Linked DNA regions of Arabidopsis thaliana. The protein of the gene in region 2 interacts with the protein of the main gene of each other region in a pairwise test. Each region holds a gene or a part of one and is shown on either strand. Other genes may lie near its edges.

Region 1 (5,903 bases), on a different chromosome or scaffold from region 2:
GAAGAAGAAGAATCAGGAAGGGAAGGAAGAACCTTGTCATTCAAATAGTCAACGTTGATAGCAAGATCGGAGAGCTGAATAGTGCCATCACGAAGCTGAATATCGAGCTGATCAAGGTCGATATCACCAAGTATGAGTTTACCCAATTTCTTCTTCAACAGGAATTTGACAACCCTCTTCACCGCCCATCTAGAAAAAGCTTCCTCCGCTGATTTAGCAATGTTCCACGGAAACACCATCTTGTTTGTTTGTTGTTCCCTTCCCCTGCGGGATTAGAGAATCTCTAGTCGAAGACCCTGATTTTGGGATTTGATGAGATTTTAGGGTTTTTCTAAGGGATGGTGACGTGAAGGTTTCTCGTGATTGGATTGCGGAGAGAGAGAGAATCAGAAGGAAGCAAAAAAGTTGAGTAGACTTTCGTCGTCGTCGTCTTCGTCCTACGGGCTTTTGCTTTACCGTGTGGAGGAATAAGTGCCGTCTCTTTCTATTCTTTCTTCCTTAACCGGATCTATTATTGTACCGGTTACTCAAAAACCGGTTCTCAATCCTAATTGGGCTCTAATTAGTTAGTTGATCACATCATAAATTAAGGGGTAAATGCGTCAATTCTCAACGAATTATGTCTTCAATCCCTTATCTTATTATATCAAGCCAGGGTTTATCAACATAATTTTAAAACTGTTTATTTTTAATGGCTTAAATTCCACTACACAAATCTGTAGGTGGCCATTTAGTTATCTGGTTTAGTTTGGTTTAGTTCGGTTATAAAGTTTTTTGGTTTTTGTGTGATTACGATTTATTTTTTGGTTTGGTGGGACTTCTCTTTCAACCTTTTTCTTAAAGTTTGTTTCTCTTTCCCTTATCCAAATCATAAAATATCATGAAATAATCGTAGTTACCAAAATCAAAATATTTAGCCGTAACGTTCCATGTTTGTCTCCATAACAAGACACAAAAACAATCCCCTCATTGCACAACTTCACTGTTCAGCCAAAAAACTCGCAAAAAGCTGTTATGTTAAGTTTTAGTTCATCTTCCCACTCCTTCCATAGAACTAGAAGTCCCATTTAAACCTTCAAACTCTACTTTCTTCCTGCACACATCAATCAACAAATTTAGTTTTATCTTATCGAACAGATATTATTACAAGAGTCAAGAGGTAAATAGATTTGAAACATTATTACCTCGTCTTTTCCTCTTACCACTGCTTCTCAACTGTCTACCTTCTGAAACAGTTTCCTTCTGTTTCTCGTTTGATTCATTATCATTATCTCGATCTTCTTCATTCCCATCTGAATCATCATCATTTACCTCATTCCCATCTGAATCATTGTTTGCATCATCATTTACCCTAATGATATACACCTGGAACAAGCAATATGTTTCAACATCAATGCCAAAGTCTCTCTACCAGGGTGTATTTCAAGATCTCTAAGTAAAACTCCTTTACCTTGAACGTTGTTCGAGCGATAAGGTGAAACACTACAGCATCTCCATCGACTAACTGGTGATCAATGGCGAAACCTCGCCAGCCTCCACTAAGACCGTTCTTCTGAGCAAGGTATTTCGCCTGAGATTCCTCCTCTTCTTCGTCAACCAAAGTCATTATTACATCACGTTTTGGCATATGTGCCTTGCAAAAAGGAAGCGGCAAACCCTGGTTACGAAAACATATGACATCAGTGGACTTTTACATACTACTATGGCTGAGTTTCAGACATCTTTGAATGTTCAAGTTGTTCACTTACCAACCAAAATCCTCCGGTCACGTGTGATTGGAGCATTGGTTTGGTAAAGCTTGCATATTCTGAATCTAAGCTTGACTGGAGCTTCTCTGCCCTGTCGAATGCGTACATTCTTGCGTCGTCCGAAGCATATACCCGATTCAGCAAATCTCTTCTTCGAGAGCTCCTGCAAAGCAAAACACATAACTTATACTGAAAAGTGAAAACAAACATCAAATAGTGTAAGAGAAGTAATGTATTCATAGAGAGTGTGGATTGGTCAACCTTCTTGGCCTCCTCTCCAGTGGTTCTAGCCCAAACTGCGAGTAAGGATCAGATAACTCTGATAATGAGTAATGAGAAACAACTCACGTTTTTATTCAAAAAAAAGAGAAACAACTCACGCAAATTATAACTAAGAAAAATTGCACAAAAAGATCAAACCCACAAATTTCATATCTCATACAAAATCCTTAAGAAATCCTTAAGGAAACTCAAGTAAAGATAAATGGTAGTAAAAGACCTCTTTATAACTTGGAGGTGGACCTTTGGCACGGCTTGATCTCCTGACCTCCGAGAAATCCACTGGAATACGCATCGTTCTTGGCTTTGCCTACATTTCCATAAAAAAAATTGGTTAATTTCAGAAAAAGAAAAGAAGAAATGAGAAGAGAAGAGAAAGGAAACGTTACTGGTGAGGGCTTGGAAGAAGAAGAAGAAGAAGAAGAGACACGAAGAGATTGAGCAAGCTTGTTGAGATTAAGCTCCCCCATTCTCTTCTTGTTCTCTTCCACCCTATTCAAACGAATCTGTTCATAGCTTAGCTCCGATTCCACCATTTCTCTTAGGAATCCGAAACAGAGATAGAGAAACGAAAGAGACAGATCCAAGTCTTGCTTGACTCTTCAATGCGCTTTTGAGTGACCGTTGGGTTTCTTCTTTCACCGCTATGTATGTGTTTATACTTCTCCAATTTTTTTTTTCTTTTTATGTAATAAAAATCTTAATCATTGTGTCTAATCAAACAAATTGAAATTTCAAATTCTCAACAGTGGAAGGTCTGAGTAAGCCTCCATCGTGATACGTGAAGCAGGTATGGGCTTCTTAAAAGACGTTTCTTTTTTTTCCCTCCATAATTAACAATTATTTTGAGATCCCTTAATATTTTTAACTATTTTAAGAAAACATTTGATTTGATCAGTAACGCTTTACAATAATAATAAAAAAAATACTCAAGAAGTTTGTTTATCCATAAACACATTGAAATCAAAAGAATCTACAAAGACAAATCCTGTGGGTTACTAAGGAATAAAGAAACAAACCTGAGACTTTCCTACACCGTTAGGTAAACAAGAACAACCGTTAGCTAAATGATCCCATGTTCTACTGTTGATGCTACAACCTTTAGTTAGATGATGAGCTTTTTTTTCTGGGGGATTTTCACTTCTGTATTTGAATATCGCTTTGGCAGAATTTCCACAATCCATCTTCTTGCTTCTTCAGAATATATCGGATCTTGTAAGTGCTACAAGAAATTTACAAAGGCTGCATCAGTGAAGAAGATACCAGCTCAGTCCAAAAGTAACCCGAAAGCGAAATGTTTTTTTTTACCTATAATATTTTGCGTTTTTGGGCTGAGATTCATCAACTAATTCTGCTGCTTCCTCCAGAAGAGCTTCGATTTCTGCAGCCTCACCAGCAATACCATCTTCGAATATATGTGCTTGCAAAACCTCAAGATGAAGCAGAACGAACCTCCAATAACAGGATTTCGCCTCTGCTGTTTGTGCCAATGTTTGCCACTGCATTAAACAAAGAAATATTGACTCTACCTAAACATTGATGTTCAACTGTAGTAAACTAACATAATTAAGTAAAGGAATAATAGGAGATGTATAGAAACAGTAACCTGGACAAGCATGGATTCATCAAGGACTTCGGAAAGGCTATAAACTTGATGTGTTGGTCCAAGAGCTTCAGCCTTAACATTTTCCCACTGTCTCACAAGCTCTTCCGCTTCTTCTGTATCCATTGGTCTCTTATGCAGTTCTGACGCAGAATGAGACAATGATGTAGCTGATTGACCAGAGCTTTTCAGATACAGGGCATCCGGATGTTCGCCACAATGCATCTTTAACATGTCAATGAGCACTTTGATGTTTCCCACGATACCATTTCTATTCACAGAATCAAGGTTTTTTCTGAAATTCCCAGACTCTGTTTTCCACAGAAAAGAATCTGATTCTGAATGCGGCCTAGCAGAAACCGATATAGGCATACTCTGTAGTCTACCAGACCTAATGCCTGATAGCTTCAGAGAGAAGAACACGGTGCAACCCAGTAAAGCAACAACAGATACCCTTCCGATCAAACTGCTTTGAGAGAGCCACTCATCCCATATTTTATTTTTGTGTACACCAAGGTTCCTCTTCAGTTGAACAGATGGCATACTGGCACTGGTTTCATCATTATTCTTGGCTGATACCACTGGGCTCTGCAAATCTGTTGGTGTCAACTGCTCGACAGCTGTATAAAGATGTTGTGACGAGTTCACGAACTGTGTTGTGGAAAGTGGTCTTTGGTTCGTCTTATGATTCATGATCGAAGGTGACCCCATTTTCTTGTTTTCTGGATATTTCTTTTCAGCCCGGAAAAAATTGGCCTGCAGAAAGTTGTATATATGATTATCTTTCTGCATAAAAATAGAACTGCTATACAGAATCTTCCAGTAGTGATCTGATTCTTACCAAAGATGGAGAACAACCCCTTGTGTCTGGAAAGTTAGCAAGCACGGACTCCATTAGCCACGCTTCCTGGTCAATTTTATAGGTAGCATGTATGAAGGTCGCTATCAATCTTTCTATGAAAAAAAATCAGAGCTAGCGAAGAGATGTACATACTTGCAAAATTTCCAAATTAAATTTAGTGCATGAACCCAAGGGCTTACTCAAACAAATATTAAGATTTATGTGTATGTACAACCAATCGAAAAAGAAAATGTTAACGGCAGGCATACACAATGCTGTTAAAGCATATTCTATGAATTTAACTACCATCCACTAAATGTATCTATTTCCATTGTTTCAATTACAGCCTGAAACATAGCTCAAACTTATTCATACTCCACTAGAGTTGATCATGCCATTTACATCAGGCATAGCCCTCGCTCTAGTCGTAGCAACAAATGAACACATATTCTTGGTAAAAATCATAAGGTTTACCAGTGAGGGAGTAGCAGAAGTACTTCTCGACTCTTTCCCCAAGATCGAATTACGAACGGCAGAGTCTGAATTTGATTCCAGCTGCTTAAGTTTTTCCAGGGCCTCTGCCTCGGAACCCTGTGCTATCCAACATGTAGGTCCAGTAGCACTTAACTAAATGAACAACGCAAGGATCTTTCGAAGCAAGTGAACTTGAAGTAAATAAGATGCACAAGCATAGTTGATAGGGAAAAAGAATAAAGAAAGCAAGAGGAAAAATACCTGTTTTAGAAGAAATGAGCAAAAAGCTTCCTCAAATTTCAGATCAACACCTTCTGATGCTATGAGACATTCGCATATCGTTTTTGCTTTATTAATCTACACAAGCATACTGAATGTTATGCTTTATAAGCAGATAGAGTAGAGAAGAAATGGACCAATCAGTCTAAATTTAACAAAAGGAAAGAAAACGAGATATACCGTTTCATTTTGCTTGCCTGAAAATCCAACAGCGATGTGACCAAGTAACACCATGTAGAAACAATTAAAATCAATAACAACTCTTTGATTGTGGGATTCCAGTGATTTTTTATTTTTCCGTGTAATGGCTAAATCATCCCATGGAAGAAGATCGACAATCTCTGTGGCCAATAACCTGCTAATTGCCTGGCTCAAAAAGCATGGCCAGTCTTGAATTTGACATGAAGCTTCAACACTAAGGCCCTGTCTGAGCAGTTCGCGTAGCGCGGCAATTGCACCTCGCCTCCTCTCTGCATTTTCTGGCGTGCGTGGCAGGCCCAGTAGATCCAATGTGCAAGGTGGTGCAAGCTCCTCTAGTGACTCCTCAATCTATAAATATCAATTTTAACCCCTTAAAACCCAATATGCTGGTAAATTATGCTTTTGGACAATACGTACTTATATGTGAAGCTCCTAAACATGATGCGATTTACAGTAAGGCATGATCATGCACTTTTAA
Region 2 (7,897 bases):
AATAGTTACCACTTTCGCTTTCTTGTGATTTTCTGTCTACACCCATTACGTATCACCACGTGCATCCCAATCCCCATTACCACAATCTCGACTCCAAGATTTGAGATCGTAAAAGATAACGCAAATTATAATCATTTTAGGGTGTTGTAATTATTGTTAATGATATATACCAACTGTATCATTAATTTTTCTTGAATTTCAAAGGATATGGGAGTTCTTGTTTTCTTTTTTTTTGGTTAAATGGGATTTAAGTTGTAACTTTAAAGTAGGAATAAAGTCAAAGGCTCAAAGCCATATCCATAATATGATACATCTTACCAAGACGCATGAAAATTAATGGATCCATATTTCAACGGAACAATGTTTTAAATAACCTAAACTTTCAAAGAACTTTGTAAATTTCAAAGGATATTGGGAGTTTTTTGTTTTTGGTTGGGATTTATGTTTAAAGTATTTTAAAACGCATGAAATTAGGATCCACATTGAACATCTTTTAAAATAAACCTAAACTTCCGATGAACTTTGTATATTGTAACACTCCAATCCAGCCCATTAAGGCCCAAGTACCCTAAATTATGTCGTTGTGTGTTACTTAAAGTCTCACAAGTCACTTAACGCATCTCAATCTTCAACCCTAAAACAGGCAACGAACCTCAGCCACCACTGTCCATCGTGGTTGAGTTCGACGAAGTTTGTTGTTGTGATCCGATCTGATCCTAATGAAGATGAGGAAGGAAACAGTTTCTGGTAGGGGGAGTGAGATTCAATTGTAGTTATACTTCAGCAAGTAAGGCTAGATGAGAGGTGTCGACATCACCCCTAAAGGTATACCTAGCTGCCAAACTCTTTGATTGCCATGCAAGAATCAACAATATCTATAAAAATCCAGTATGCATAATCATCTTTTGAACTGGTTCTTGTGCTAGAGTTACAAAATCCTAGTTGTACTAGTACCAAACTTTTATGACACTTTTTAGCAGCTTGTTTTCGGTCAAGCTTGAAAACATGATCCATGGAAACATAACATCTATTTTTTTTGTAAATCATAAATTTGTTCATATAAAAGAAGATTTAATTATTAATTGCTAATGACTAAGATATTAAAAATTCAATGTTGAAACGTATCGATATTTGGTATGTTATGAGATATGCATACTCACGACATTGTTAATGTTGCAACGTATCGTAATATGCATATTATGACGGGGCAAGTCCGTCTAGTCCTCTTCACTCAGCGTTAGACACATTCGTTTATTCTATGTTTTGTTTGGGAGAGAATAATGAAGTTTCAATCGCCGATCCATACAAACTATTAAGAGCCAGGAAAGCAAATCTTGGCTCCATGAGATTGGCGAGCTTCTCTGACGCACCTAGATTCTTTTGTAAGAGAGGTTTTTTTCCTCTCTCTATCTTCCATTCACATTTGTTTTAATATTGAAACCGACAGTTTGAACCGTATAGGTTATTCTTAAATATTATCTGTCAAGATTCAAGAACAAAATAGCTCGATAGTAATTTTTGATGATCTATACATTGCAAAACATGGAACAGCAATCGTTATAATAAACAAGTTATTATGAAAATGACTATAAACTTACTCACATATCTATAGTGACTAAAATACTGAAATACAAGATGGCTAAATTGTTAATGTTCGTATAATCTGCTCTTACCGTCTTACGTGCATGCAAACATAATAATAATAATAAAAACCAGACAGAAGACTGATCGTTCAACCCGCGGAGAGATCATATCACTTAATACATAAACAGAAAATAACCAAATCTAGTTTTGTTTAGACGACTTTAGAGAAATGGAAAAAGCAAATGAGAGTAAATACGACCTAGGCAAATGGGAGTACAATAGAAAAGTGAAAAGCCATATATGATATATTGAACCTCAGTATTCAAATAAGACTTATGGTAGAAACAGCTAAGATGATAGCAAGAGAAAGCCCCAACTTCTTCAATACGAAACTATCTTGAAACCGAAAACCTTGTTCGTCAACCATATTTTTCTCTTTCTTCTTCTTCCAAATTTTTCTTCTCACGACAGCATTTTCCATCATGAGTATTGTTCCCCGATTGTTACAATCTCCTCTCGTAGGCTGCCTCGAGTAACCTTCACTGCCTCTGTTTTTGTTAGAGTTACCTCGATGAACACAACGCATCAATAGAAGCATAGGAATGAAGCCAATAACATGCGCGAATTTTCTCCATTGTCCAAGAACTGTTGAGCTTACTCCGTTGATTCGCGGATTTATCTTTTTACGGACATGAACCTCCTCTTTTGATGTCATACTATGACAACACTCATTGCCATCCGTCGGATTTATATAAACTATAACGGTTTGCGATGGTACTATCTGTTGGAAGAATGTGTTGGTTACCTGACGAGTTGTGACAAACAATCCATGGCTAACCTCAACTTTTTTTACCACCTCAAAACATGAGGAACTCGTTGTCTCATGATCGTTCTTGTCCAAAAGATTCTCGTTATGTTCGTTTTCCGAAAACTCGAGTGTGAAAGCATCATCCACATCTCCATTGTTGTTGTTAACGTCCATACCATCTTCAACAACAACAAAACAAAAAAATCAAATCCAGAGATGTCAAGAAAGACAACCAAATGTAGAAATCGCGAAGTGAAAGCTACCTTGATCATGATGTTCTTGTTCTTGATTATCATTATGATATCTCCAAATATCTTCTATAGGAATTACCGTTGAGTGTTCTTCAACGAAGCTCTGAAATTTGTAGAATAAATCAAACATATACTTATATTTGATAACATATATATTAACACATAAAATATTTTGCACTTAACATTGTAAAATATCACTACCTTTTCAAGTTCCTTGCTTGATACTCCTACCCATCTCAAGTTTTCAACAAGTCTTTCTTCCTTAAAATTCACATGGTGTTCTTGCATATCTACAGCCTCCACGTTCGCCTCTAGGCATGAGACTTTTTCTCCGGAATAGTTAAAGTCTCCATGGAAGTTCCCGGAAGCAGAACCACCGTCCCATGAGTCTAGACTGTTTCGTGGCTCATGTGAGGCTTGAGCCAATGCTATAATCTTGCTCAACATTTCATCTGTATCGTTAGCTACATTGTTTCCAAAATATTCATTGTGTGTGAGACCTTCTACGTAAAGTGGTGGTACTGGTGGCAACATACGATTTTGTAGTCTTGCACACTCTAACGCTATATCAACCTATTATATGAGGAGAATTCAATGGATAAGAGATTAGTTTGAAAACAAAAGGTTACATATTCACCAATTTTAATTTTGTATTTCTTTGAGATATATAGTTTAAATTTTACCTTCGAGGGAGGATATGAGATTGTTCCATATTGAGACTGAGGTGGGAAGTTGAAGGACGTGTCATGCGACATAAACTGACTCCATTTATTCTCTATCGTTTCCATATCCGACGACGAATTATTACCGAGTTGAGTTAAGCCTCCTGTCTCAGGTGAGACTGGATACCCCGAGTTTTCGAGGTTTTCATACATTCCATCAGAATACAAACAAGTACTAGAAGTAGATTGTTCACTATTAGTCGTTCCTTTGTTCTTCTTCGTACCATGGTGTTGTTCTTCAATTTTGTTGGCTAAAGCACTCTTCTTAAATACTCGACAAAGTGCATAGGCATCCTGAAATGTTTATACATTGGTTTATATTCAAGTTAAGAATCTTAATCTTTTGATAACCTTTTTAAAAGTTAGCTTACCTGTATACCGGATTTAGAGTCACATTCTTGTTCTTCAAGACGGTACTCGTGCATGACCCAATCGGTACGAGAGCCATGAGGCGCTCTTCCTCGGTAATAAACTAATGTTTTCTTTGTTCCAACCATCCGTGAATGTGAAGTCACTTTACGATCTTTCCCGGTGGCTTTCCAGTAACCTGCTTTGGTCGCCCGGTTTGTTCTTGATCCGTTTGGATATTTCCGGTCTCGAGGACTGAAAAAGAACCATTCTAGGTCTTTACTTGGCAGCAAGGACTTCCCTGCAAGGATCATACAATTAAGATAAATTATATCCAATCTTAATTTGTACACACTACTTAAAGATTCCATAACATGTCATGAGAATCCAAAAGATTAAAAAAGAAAAGACAAATAAAGAGAACATTAGATTGTTTTATATTTAAAACAAAAAGTTGAAGGTGAATGAGAAGCTTCCAAAACCCTAAAGCACATGTGAAATTATTGTGAGTTACTTATTATCTTTTTTTTTCAATCTTCTTACCTTTTTTGACTCGGTCTTCCGAATTTGTCTCACACTAGTCACCACCGCATCTCTCGGTTTTATTACAATCCTTTTAAAGACTAAAGATAAGGGTGGGTCCATTTAAATTTTATTCTAACATAAAGTTGGGATCATAATTATTAAAGATTATTTAGTTGATAAAGCATTCACGTTCGATTCCAAGTTCGATGCGTGACTAGAGATACATAACTTGGTACGTAAAAATGTGAAAATAAAATGGGAATTATATTATGTTAAGGAAAAAGAGGGAAAGAACATCTATCTTCGAAAAAGAAAGGACGTCAAGTGTCTCTTCTCTCAAGGGTTACCCTTTCAAACATTAGTTTCACATTATGTAGTTTTCAGAAAAATGAATCTATTTTTCGTTATTCTTACTAAATTCCAAAAAAAAATGATCTTACACTAAGCATATCAATCAAATGATTATGACATATTAGAAAAGAACCAGATAGAGTCTTCTCCTTCGGTTGCTATGGTATGGTCTCATTTAAAATTTCTTTAACATGAGACACAACATGTTGATGTACTAACGATGCAGAATCATAAATTTATACCTTCGTCCATGGTAAATACTTGCGGATGACCAAAAAAAATGATAGATTTGCATCTTATGAAAAAGAAAAAAAAGAAGCAAAGAGAGAAATATACCAGGTAAATCCCAAGGTTCGCATTTGTAAAGATCAATCTCGGGTATTATCTCTAACTCAATAGTCCGACCATTAATCTTTCGCTTGAGGTAGTATATGACAAGCTCTTCGTCTGTTGGATGAAACCGGAAACCTGGAGGCATTGAAACAGGAGCCATGTCCACTGCCTTATACAAACTTCTTAGCTAGAAACAAATATGAACATTTATAGAACTTAAGAGAGAAAAAGGAGAAGAGGGAGGAGAAGGAGTGAGAATATGAAGAGACAGTTATATAAGAAAGAAGCGTAACATAAGGGTTTGAATTCGATCGATCAGTGATGAAATTGTAAGAAAGACAAAAAGAGATTAAAATTATGTAAAAGAAGCTGGAAAAAGCATTTAGGGTCGGTTGCCAATTGCAAACCCCACAACATATTTTCCACTTTAACTTTTCTTTTTACTTTAATGTGTTTATATATTTCCGTGTAAATTTGATTCTCAGTAACGTTCTTAATAAGCTTTTTCGGTATCATGTTCAATGTTGGAAAACTCACGTTCATTATAATTCATCTAAACATGTTTATTTTTGTTCATCCATGCGTAACGTGTTTATGCATATAGACTAGATATTTGTCAATTTCATTTATCAGTTTTGCTCCTAGTGAAAATATTAAAAGTAACCAATTAAAGACAATTTGATAACTATTTTTGCTTGTAAAAACGGATATATATGTATAAACCTATACTAGTTAATAACTTTTGCTCGTCATATTTTTTGGCATCGACCAACGTAAGGACGTGACATATTTGACATATTTATAAGGAATTTTCAACAACTAGAACTTAATGTAAGGTTTTAAGAAAACATAATAAGTAAACTATTTTTTACGTTGTTAATTTTTGAGATGCTTTCTCACTGTTTTCACACATTTTAAGCCACATTTCATAGTCAATTATTACGTTTTCTATAATATAGAATGAAAGTTTTATATTTGATATACATCATTTTATTTTCTATCTCGTGGTCAATGCCTCAATGGTAATATTGAACCAATCGCATTTTGAAGATAGCATGTTAGATATATTTCTACTTACATTTACATACTATGCAAGTCTTCTTCATTGCTCAAAATCACAAACATTTTTCTTAACTCGCATATATATTTCCTAGATGATCATTAAAATATTTTTATTAATCATATATTGGAATTTTTTTCCCAGTATTTTTTTTTCATTTTTTCTTAAATAAAGAAATTTTTCTGCATTACATATATTCACTAACAAACATCAAAATGAATTAAAATACATTCGAAGAAGTAAACTCAAAAGTTAGTTTCATATTTCAGCATCATACTTGTTATAGACCAAAACCTGCTTCTCTTCCCACCATCTTTGTGCTTCCTTCTCTGAAAACCTCTTCCGACTGCAACCAAAGTTAGAAACCAATCATATAAATACTTAAGCGTACTTCAAACTATATAAACACTTAAAAGCACATTAACATTTTTTTACCTAAACCGTACGCGTTTAAGCGTCTTCTGACCGCAAGGCAAGGCCGTGAAAGTTATATATACACCGGGCTCGTATTGCTCAACTTGTTCTGCTGACGAGTCTTGTGTTTCGTTTTGGAGATACCCTGTTCTTGTGATGGCTGGCGATGCATCTACTAATAGCTTAATGTTGCTGTCACGGTTCGAGGATTTCGTGACACATTTCTCTACATGTTGTTTGGTTTCGTGTTGTGAACGAGCTGTGGTGATTGGTGTGAGGTATGGAATGGACATTGAGTCATCAAAGATTGGTGAGACTTGAGAAGGATTGCATGCAATGCCGGTCTTCAGAGGATTACTCGGTTTCTCTTTATTCGCTTGGAGCTGCAAGCAAAGATACCGTGAAAATGTCGGTCACATAACAAACCAAAAACAGAAAGATTAAAAAAAACTATGTATCTTTTACCTTCGATGCCAAGGCTTTTATTATCTCTTTAGCAGCTTTCGATTTCTCTGCTTCTTCTTTAGCAACTTCCCATGTCTTGTCGAGCTCTTGTTGACATTCTTCCATCTTCTCATTGCCAAGTTCACACTGCCTCTGGAGATTTTTTATCTACATGTTCATAAAAATGTATCTTTAGTGTCTAATGTGTTACTATTGTTACAGGTAAGAAAACAAAAAGAAGTAGTTTAATTACCACGGCTTTTAGCCTTTCGATTTCTTCGGTTAAGATCTTATTCGACTCAGACGAGGTTGAAATCTTCGTTGAAGATGTTCGCCTTGCTGAGACTGAAAGATTCAAAGAAGAACTTGTCGAAATCTTATCGAAACGAAACAGAGAAGGACCAGAGACTTGTCCCCATCGAGGCTGTCCATCCGAAGATCGATTAGCTTGTGGAAGATTCTGCATCTCATTCTCTGATTGTTTTTCTGTCAAATCCTCAGATACTCTTCGTGTAACCATCTGCATCCTCGGAGTGTGATTATCCATCTTAACATTTCTTGAAAACTCTGTTATACTCCATAGATGATCAAAGCAAGAATCGCAAACCCGAGAAAGCTTGCTTTTATTCGGTGCTAACGAAGCATTTACCGCTTTCTTGCTACTACATGCATTGCAAAACAATAGACCACAGTTGTAACAGTTATGCTTTCTCCTTGTGAATCCAAAAGCTGATTTGCAAGAACTACAAGCGGTTTGATCATTCAAAGAGATCTCTTTGTGTAAACAGATCGCAGCCGTCAAATTCAACCCGCAAGCTATACTTTCTACCAACCTATCACCTAAAGGCTCAACAAGAACAGGAGAGTTTCTATCTCTAACGTCACCTAAACCAAGTTGTCCATTCATGCCTTTTCCCCAAGTATAAACATTTCCAAATGAAGTTAGAACAGCTACATGATGTGAACCTGAAGCAATATCCTTGACAAATTGTCGTGTTAGATTGCCTAAAACAACATTTACCGACTTATCCTTTGCCCGCGGACATCCTAACTGTCC

What was found. The genes of interacting proteins can lie anywhere in the genome.
Region 1: the proteins of NAC028 (region 2) and AT3G19184 interact in a two-hybrid assay, tested with the Arabidopsis thaliana proteins (one large-scale study listed by BioGRID).

Annotation. Positions count from the first base shown.
Region 1 is NC_003074.8:6,634,215-6,640,117, reverse strand, and holds AT3G19184 (AP2/B3-like transcriptional factor family protein), read right to left. Parts: upstream 2,752-5,903; 5' UTR 2,564-2,751; coding exon 2,417-2,563; intron 2,338-2,416; coding exon 2,248-2,337; intron 2,045-2,247; coding exon 2,010-2,044; intron 1,912-2,009; coding exon 1,749-1,911; intron 1,658-1,748; coding exon 1,451-1,657; intron 1,366-1,450; coding exon 1,153-1,365; 3' UTR 1,094-1,152; downstream 1-1,093. Other genes in the region: ATG2 (autophagy 2), read right to left, coding at 33-239; PARC6 (plastid division protein), read right to left, coding at 3,165-3,249, 3,336-3,526, 3,634-4,386, 4,472-4,537, 4,946-5,062, 5,207-5,302, 5,405-5,773.
Region 2 is NC_003070.9:24,519,027-24,526,923, forward strand, and holds NAC028 (NAC domain containing protein 28), read right to left. Parts: upstream 5,235-7,897; 5' UTR 5,083-5,234; coding exon 4,926-5,082; intron 4,015-4,925; coding exon 3,737-4,014; intron 3,660-3,736; coding exon 3,327-3,659; intron 3,217-3,326; coding exon 2,845-3,216; intron 2,747-2,844; coding exon 2,656-2,746; intron 2,572-2,655; coding exon 1,907-2,571; 3' UTR 1,642-1,906; downstream 1-1,641. Other genes in the region: AT1G65920 (Regulator of chromosome condensation (RCC1) family with FYVE zinc finger domain-containing protein), read right to left, coding at 6,241-6,328, 6,418-6,779, 6,862-7,008, 7,094-7,897.